Linked DNA regions of Macaca mulatta. The protein of the gene in region 1 interacts with the protein of each later gene in a pairwise test. Links are inferred from orthologs where the notes say so. Each region holds a gene or a part of one and is shown on either strand. Other genes may lie near its edges.

Region 1 (3,073 bases):
GTACAAAGCAGTAAAACCAGTAAATCTCATGCAAAATGTCCTTCGTTATTTTCAGCAGATTGGCCTATCTTGGTATTATTTAGTTAACAAAAATATATATATATTGAGCATCTACCATGTGCAGGCACTTTCTAGGCATTCAAAATATAGTAAACACAACAAATACCTTTTCCTTCATGGAACATACATCCTAGTAGGGAAAGACAGTATACACATAAGTATATTATATAGTATATTAGAAGAAGATAAATGCTACGTAAAAAATAAAAAAGGGTAAAAGGAGAAAGAATGACTTAATTGGATGTAGGTAGGTGGTCAAGGATATTTTCACCAAGAAAATTAAATTTGAGGAAAAGATATAAAGGAGGTAAGTGAGTGTGAGCTATGCAGATGTCTAGAGCAAAATTATTCTAGGAAATACAAATGCAAAGGCCCTAGTATTCAAGGCAAGGAGGCCAGTAGTGTTGGGATCTATCATCAAGAGGAAAAGGAAAGAAATCAGAGAGGTAATGGAGTTCCCATAAGGCATTGTGGGTACTCTGCATTTTACTCTGAGTGGGCTATTAAGAGTTTGAGCAGAGGAATACCATGATTTGGTTTAGGTTTTAAAACAGTCACTCTGGTTGGCATTTTAACAACAGATTGTGGGCTGGGCGTGGTGGCTCATGCCTGTAATCCAAGCACTTTGGGAGGCTGAGGTGGGTGGATCACTTGAGGTCAGGAGTTTGAGACCAGCCTGGCCAACATGGTGAAACCCCGTCTCTATTAAAAATACAAAAAATTAACCAGGCGTGGTGGTGCATGCAGTCCAACCTGGGTGACAAAGCAAGACTCCATCTCAAAAAAAAAAAAAAAAAAACAGATTGTAGGGGTAGATAGATAGTGGGGCTATGGGTAGAAATAGTTTTAAGGCTATTCAGGTAATTCATGTGAGAGATGATAGCGATTGGAACAGAGTGACAGAGTTTAAGATGAAGAGTAGTGGTTCAATTTTGTATATCTTTTGAAATTACAACCAAAAAGTTTGCTAATAGATTTGTGGTAGGGTGTGAGCGGGGAATGTCTCTGAGGTTTTGGGCGTGATTAATTGGAAGGAAAGATTTATGATTTACTGAGGTGAAGAAGACAGTGGGAGGAACAGGTTTTAAAGTAGGCGTTGGGGAGGAAGGTCAGGCAGTCAGTTGTGGACATGTAAAATTTGAAATGCCTTTTTGTCCAATTGACGGTACAGAGTAAGCAGTTATAAGCAACCAATGGAGTTCCACAGAGAGTGATCCAACCTACATTTCAAATTTTTGAAGTCTTTATATAGAAATGGCATTTAGAGTCTGGACTGGAAGAGATTCCTAAAGGAATTGAATAGTTAGACAAGCATTATGAGGACTGGACCAAGAACACTCTAACCTTTAGCGACAGGGAGATGAGTAGGTATTAGCAAAAAAGACTGAGAAAGGTGGTCAAAGAAGTAGGAGGAAAACTTGGAAAATAAGGCATTGGAGGCAAATGAATAAACTTTCAAGGAGGAAGGGCAATGAAGTTGTCACTAAGGACTTGACAAGACAACCTTAATGGAATGATAAGGCAAAAACGTGATAGTGGAATCAGGAGAGAATGGGAGATGAGGAATTGGAGATAGCTCTTTGGAGGATATTTTCTGTTGACGGTCCACAGAAATGGAGTGGTGACTGGAAGAGGAGAGATAAATTGTTTTTTGTTTTGTTTTGTTTTGTTTAAGATGGAAGAAATTACATCACATTTGCTGCATGATTGTGAGAGTAATCGAAGTAAATTTAGGGAAGCATTTATGAGGAAAAATAATGAGAAAATTGTTAGAGCAATGTCCTTTAATAGTACATAGATGGAAGGGTTGGCCTTAGAGAGGAAATTTTAATGGGAAAGGAGAGAATCTAGGGACATAGGTATAGGAAAGAGTGGATACAGTGGGAACTTGTGAAAGTTCTCTTCCAATTGCTTCTGTTTTTGCAGTAATAAAGGAACAAGGTTTTCAGCTGCAAAGAGCTTGGAGAATGTTAGAAGTGTCTTAAAGAAGGGGAGCATGAATGATGTAGGAATGGGTATAGTGGGATCCAGGAACCACTAAGGCCTACTTGAAGTTAATGATCATTAATAAAGTGAGATTAGTCACTTTTATCAAGCCATTTTGTTATAGTGATTGGATAATTATTGTTTAATATCAATGTGAAGACTTTATAACCTGCATAATCTTTTTTAAAAAATGTTTGTAGAGGCCGGGCGCGGTGGCTCACGCCTGTAATCCCAGCACTTTGGGAGGCCGAGGCGGGCGGATCACAACGTCAGGAGATCGAGACCACGGTGAAACCCCGTCTCTACTAAAAATACAAAAAATTAGCCGGGCGCGGTTGTGGGCACCTGTAGTCCCAGCTACTCGGGAGGCTGAGGCAGGAGAATGGCGTGAACCCGGGAGGCGGAGCTTGCAGTGAGCCGAGATCGCACCACTGCACTCCAGCCTGGGCGACAGAGCGAGACTCCATCTCAAAAAAAAAAAAAAAAAAAAGTTTGTAGATAATATAGATCTTTGGAGTTACTCATGATAATCAAAAGTGAGTATTAATATTAAATCTGCAAATGACAAGGGTCTGCTAGTTTCCTTCTTTTTTCCCCTACCCATAAATGGTTTTTAAGGTTTTATTCAGGTGCTATATAAATCCTTATTCTGCTTTTTTCACCCAATATTTTATTATATGTATTTTTTCATCCAAATTATCTTATTTTACTTTTACCATTTCTTACCCTTCAGAATGTTTCCATTGGAATTGTTGGTAAAGACTTGGAGTTTACAATCTATGATGATGATGATGTGTCTCCATTCCTCGAAGGTCTTGAAGAAAGGCCACAGAGAAAGGCACAGGTATAATCATATCACAAGAGGCTTTAGTTCTATTGTAAGCTGCTGTTCTTACCACAGCTGTATCTGTAAATTTTCCATTTTGTCTTAAATATTGAAATGGGCCCATAATTCAAATGGCAACAGGAAAATTAAGAACTGAATAAAGTTAAATATTGAAAGGGCAGTGATCTCCATAAACACAAA
Region 2 (4,230 bases), on another chromosome or scaffold:
CTGGTTCTGCCGCTCCAGGTCAGCCCGGATCTCGGACAGCTGCTCCTCCACGTTGCTGATGAGGCTCTGCATCTGGGCCAGCTCCGTGCCGAAGCGGTCCTCAGCTTCACACAGGGAGTTCTGCAGACAGTCCTTCTGTAGTGGGAAATAAGGGGATAAAATGTGCAAGGGCCCCAGGGAAACTGCTACATGCTCCAAATTTTGATGGTGATAACAGGTGGGAGAAACCTGGGCGGTGAGACCTCCAAAATAAAAGGCTACTAGGCCATGGCATGGGGCATTTGCAGTGCAGTGAGGGTGAAGGACACATACCAAGGTGTGCTGGGCTTGGCGCTCCACCTCCAGGGCATTCACCGTGCATCTCAGCTCCAGGATCTCCGACTGGCAGCACTGCAGCTCCTCAGAGCAGGACATGGCCTGCAGGCTGATGCCTTCAGACTAGAGCACAGAGAGACATAGTCACCTCCCTGCCCAGATGGAGGCCAGGTACTCTCCAGCTCTGTACCCACCCCTCGTTCACCTGGGCTTGGAACCACTGTTCTACATCCTGGCGGTTGGTCTCCACCATGGCCTCGTACTGAGCCCGCATCTCCCCCAGCACCCTGTTCAGGTCAATGGTGGGCTCAATGTCCAGCTCAATCCGGAGCTTCTCCCCCAGTTGACTCCTCAGAATCTTTACTTCCTGCAGAAAGGAGGAAGGGACAGACAGCCTGTGTGAAGAGAGGACCTTTGATGGAGCAGACAGCACCAGGACCCTGACCCTGCAAGCAGTGGGAGGGGAGTCCCACACACAAGCAAATGGGAAAGTCTTGCTGAGAGTGCAGTGGGGAGAGCCCACCTGGACACCTTCCTCGTGCCCAAGGCAAGTCTGCACTTTCCACAGAGGCCCTCTGGACCCTCAGACCCCCCTCAGTCCTGCATCCTGATACCAGCTGAGCCCAGACAATGCTCTGAGAGCCCCGGGGCCAGGGAGCTCCCCTGTCTGCCCAGCACCCTCCCCGGGAGTCTGAGCAGCCAGGGCCACACCTGCTCATGGTTGCTCTTGAGGGACAGCTGCTCCTCCTTCAGGGACTCCTGCTGGGCCTCCAGGTCAGCCTTGGCCAGGGTCGCGTCATCCAGGAGCTTCTGCGTCCCACACTGGTCCGCCTCTACCAGCTGGCGTAGGGAGCGCTCACTCTCCAGCCTTCCATCACGGGAGGTACAGGGTCAACAAGAATGCCCCAAGAGCCCCTCTCGGCTGCCCTGCCTTCCTACCTCCCACACCACCTTGGATCCTCATTTGTTCACTGTTTAGCCCTCTGGCCTCGAAGGTGAATTAGACACAGCCCCCCTTCTCAAAGAGCTCATGGTCTAATGAAGCAATCACAACACTACATTGCACAATATACATTTTTGCCATTGTATTCTGTGGCAACTGCAGTTCAGGAAGATGAACTGACTTGCCTAAGATCATGCATCTTGGGACCAACACTCGTGCCATTGCGGGGACTGTCAGTTACCAAAGATAAGCAATAGCCAGGTGCCTGATCGTGATCTGCGGCTCCTTATGCCTTACTTTTCAGCTGTCTTCCCCTCTCTCATTTTTGCCTAGGTACCTTATGCCTGGTACCTTAGGGCTCCATAATTAAATCTGAACAAAGACTCATCTGTAAACGACTTCTCTGACTTATATATGAAACCCAATGGCTGTCTTGCTCAGTTCATCCTTGAAATCCCCTCATTTTGCTCCTGGTGAATGAACTCAGGCTCCCTTATCCTCCATTTTAGGGAAATAAATGAAGGAGGACAAACATATATGCTTGGATTAATGAGGAGTTTTCCCTTCCATCTTTCATCAGCTTTGATTGTAATGAAAATTTTACTGTGGAGAATCTAGCAAGGAAGACAGGACAAACATTCACTCACTCAACAAGTATTTGGGCACTGGGATGGAGGGTGGGGAGGGAGTCACCCTGGCCCTCCTCCACCTGACTTACTTGATCCTAAAGTCATCGGCAGCCAGCTTAGCATTGTCAATTTGTACAATCAGCCTGGCATTCTCGGCCTTGCTGCACAGGATCTGAGGAAAACGGAAAGACGGTTCACACACAAAGCATCATACTCTAAGCTCCCACTCCACGTGTGGTGTCTACGCTCATGTCCAAGAGAAACCAAGAACCCAAAGCTCTCTGGACCTTATGTGGATTCCTCCTGCGAAGGCTTCTGCCTTCTCAGACCCAGCACGCCCAAGTGATCCCACACCTCACCTTCTGCTGGAGCTCCTCGATGGTGCGGAAGTAGGACTGGTAGTCCGGGCACACAGTGGACTCGTGGCACTTGCTCCTCTCGAGGAGTGTGGCCTCCAGCTCCGCGTTCTCCCGCTCCAGCTGGCGCACCTTCTCCAGGTAGTTGGCCAGGCGGTCGTTCAGGAACTGCATGGTCTCCTTCTCATGGCCATTCAGGGTGTTTTCACCATAGGCCCCACAGATTCCAATGTTGCCAGGAATGTGACAGGTCCCTGGCAAGGGACAAGCATTGTGGCAGGTTGGGGGCAGGCAGAGGCTGGGGCGGCCCAGGGGAGTCGACCCCACGCGGACTCGGTTGGCATGTGCCACGTTGGCCAAAAGGCACATGGGGGCAACGTTGGCCTCTGCCCCGGGCTGGCACCCAACGTCGATGGGAGAGACAGAGACATTTCTTGCTCCAGGAGCCATGGTGCAAACCAGAGGGCATGAGGAGCTGCTGTAGGAGGAGGTCATGGTGTAGGGCTGAGACTGCACAGGAGCTTCAGATCAGCTGGGAACGCCGAGCCACTGAGACTGAGGTCTCCTCTCCTCCCAGCCCTTTTATACCCCGTCCTGGGTGGGTGTTGGCTCCAATGCTTTGACCTCCTGCCTTGATTATCTACCTGTTGTGGTGCCATCATCCTGTTACTCAGCTGCTGAGTTTACCATGAAAAGTTTCTCAGCTCATTAAAGGAATGTTGACGAATCTGAGATGCCTCTTGGCTCTTTGAAATCAGGTTGGCTGCTGGTGGGAGGTCAGAAGGTTTTTATTATTTTTCAAAGAAGCAAAGTTATTTTAGCCATCAGATGCTTAGACCTTGACTGGGTTTGGCCTCTTTATGGATGTCTCCACTCTGGAGACACAAACTTTCCTGTTGGTCAGTGGTGTAGCAGGAGGACTAACCCTTGTAATGGCAATGGTTCTCACTTGGGTTAAGACTCAACCAGCCTTCCCTATCCAAGGAAGAAACTAAGTCTTGGTATTGGTGGATGTTACGGCCTTGGGTTATCAAGAAGTCCTACATTTCTTCTTTCTTTAGTTGGTTGCCTTTCAGACTCACTTTGAGGAGCAACAAGACTTAGATGAATCCATTCACTCAACACACATCCCCTAGCTATGTCCCATTTGTCAGGCACCTTGCTGACACTTGACATATAGTTGGTTAAGCACAGAACAGTTCCTGTCATTGGGGAACAACTGTAACTTGGATAGATGTGATGTTTCAAACAAGGTATCTGAGAAGCTTATGAAAATGAGGATGACTCCAAAAACCATGGCTTATCTCGACCAAGAAGGCAAGCTCAAGAAGCCAGAAAAAAACAAAAAGAAATGAGCAATAATCTTACTGAACCTCAAATAAGAACTTTGAGAAAAGAACTCATGAAAGCCAAAGAACATTGAGTGATCAGAGCCTCTGTGGGCTCTCTTCATACTTTGCTTCCTTGATTCTAAAATCAGTCATGAGCCTTCACCCTATGAGCTAGGGGATTGAGCAGTGATACCTTTTAATCTTTACTTCCAACCTGGGAGGTGGGTACTCTTAATTTTATAAAATAAATAAATAAGCCATTGAGGACAAGAGATGTGAAGTCATTTTTCTAAGATCAACCCCACTATGAAGTATAAAGCCTATTCTCAACATCAGCTTCTTTCAACTGCAGAAGCTATTTCTTCACCTTGACTACCACCAAATCTCCCACCCCCAAGGATAACTACTGTGTCATTGCTAGAACTAAGAAGGATTCAAAGGCCTAGAAACCAGGCAAGAAGTTGAAGTGAAGATGTAAAACAAAAATCTGACGTTGTGTATTTTTCCCTTTGTATCTCAGAAAATACCTCAGATGTGGAGGTATTGATACAATAAAACAGAGTTTCTCCAAGGGCCAAATCAGAAGATGCCAGGGGAAACCCCTGTCTCTAAAATGGTTATATTACACATTCCACATTTAGATAGTTCTTGGTACT

Evidence for each region.
Region 2: the proteins of PSMA1 (region 1) and keratin, type I cuticular Ha8 interact in binary tests that used the Homo sapiens proteins (3 or more experiments, as listed by UniProt). The two-hybrid records come from large-scale screens. The link is inferred for Macaca mulatta from reciprocal best matches to the Homo sapiens genes PSMA1 and KRT38.

Annotation. Positions count from the first base shown.
Region 1 is NC_133419.1:50,939,691-50,942,763, forward strand, and holds part of PSMA1 (proteasome subunit alpha type-1), read left to right. Parts: intron 1-2,779; coding exon 2,780-2,890; intron 2,891-3,073. UniProt on the Homo sapiens protein: Component of the 20S core proteasome complex involved in the proteolytic degradation of most intracellular proteins. This complex plays numerous essential roles within the cell by associating with different regulatory particles.
Region 2 is NC_133421.1:65,782,060-65,786,289, forward strand, and holds the start of keratin, type I cuticular Ha8, read right to left. Parts: upstream 2,801-4,230; 5' UTR 2,739-2,800; coding exon 2,247-2,738; intron 2,060-2,246; coding exon 1,977-2,059; intron 1,184-1,976; coding exon 1,027-1,183; intron 683-1,026; coding exon 521-682; intron 439-520; coding exon 313-438; intron 136-312; coding exon 1-135.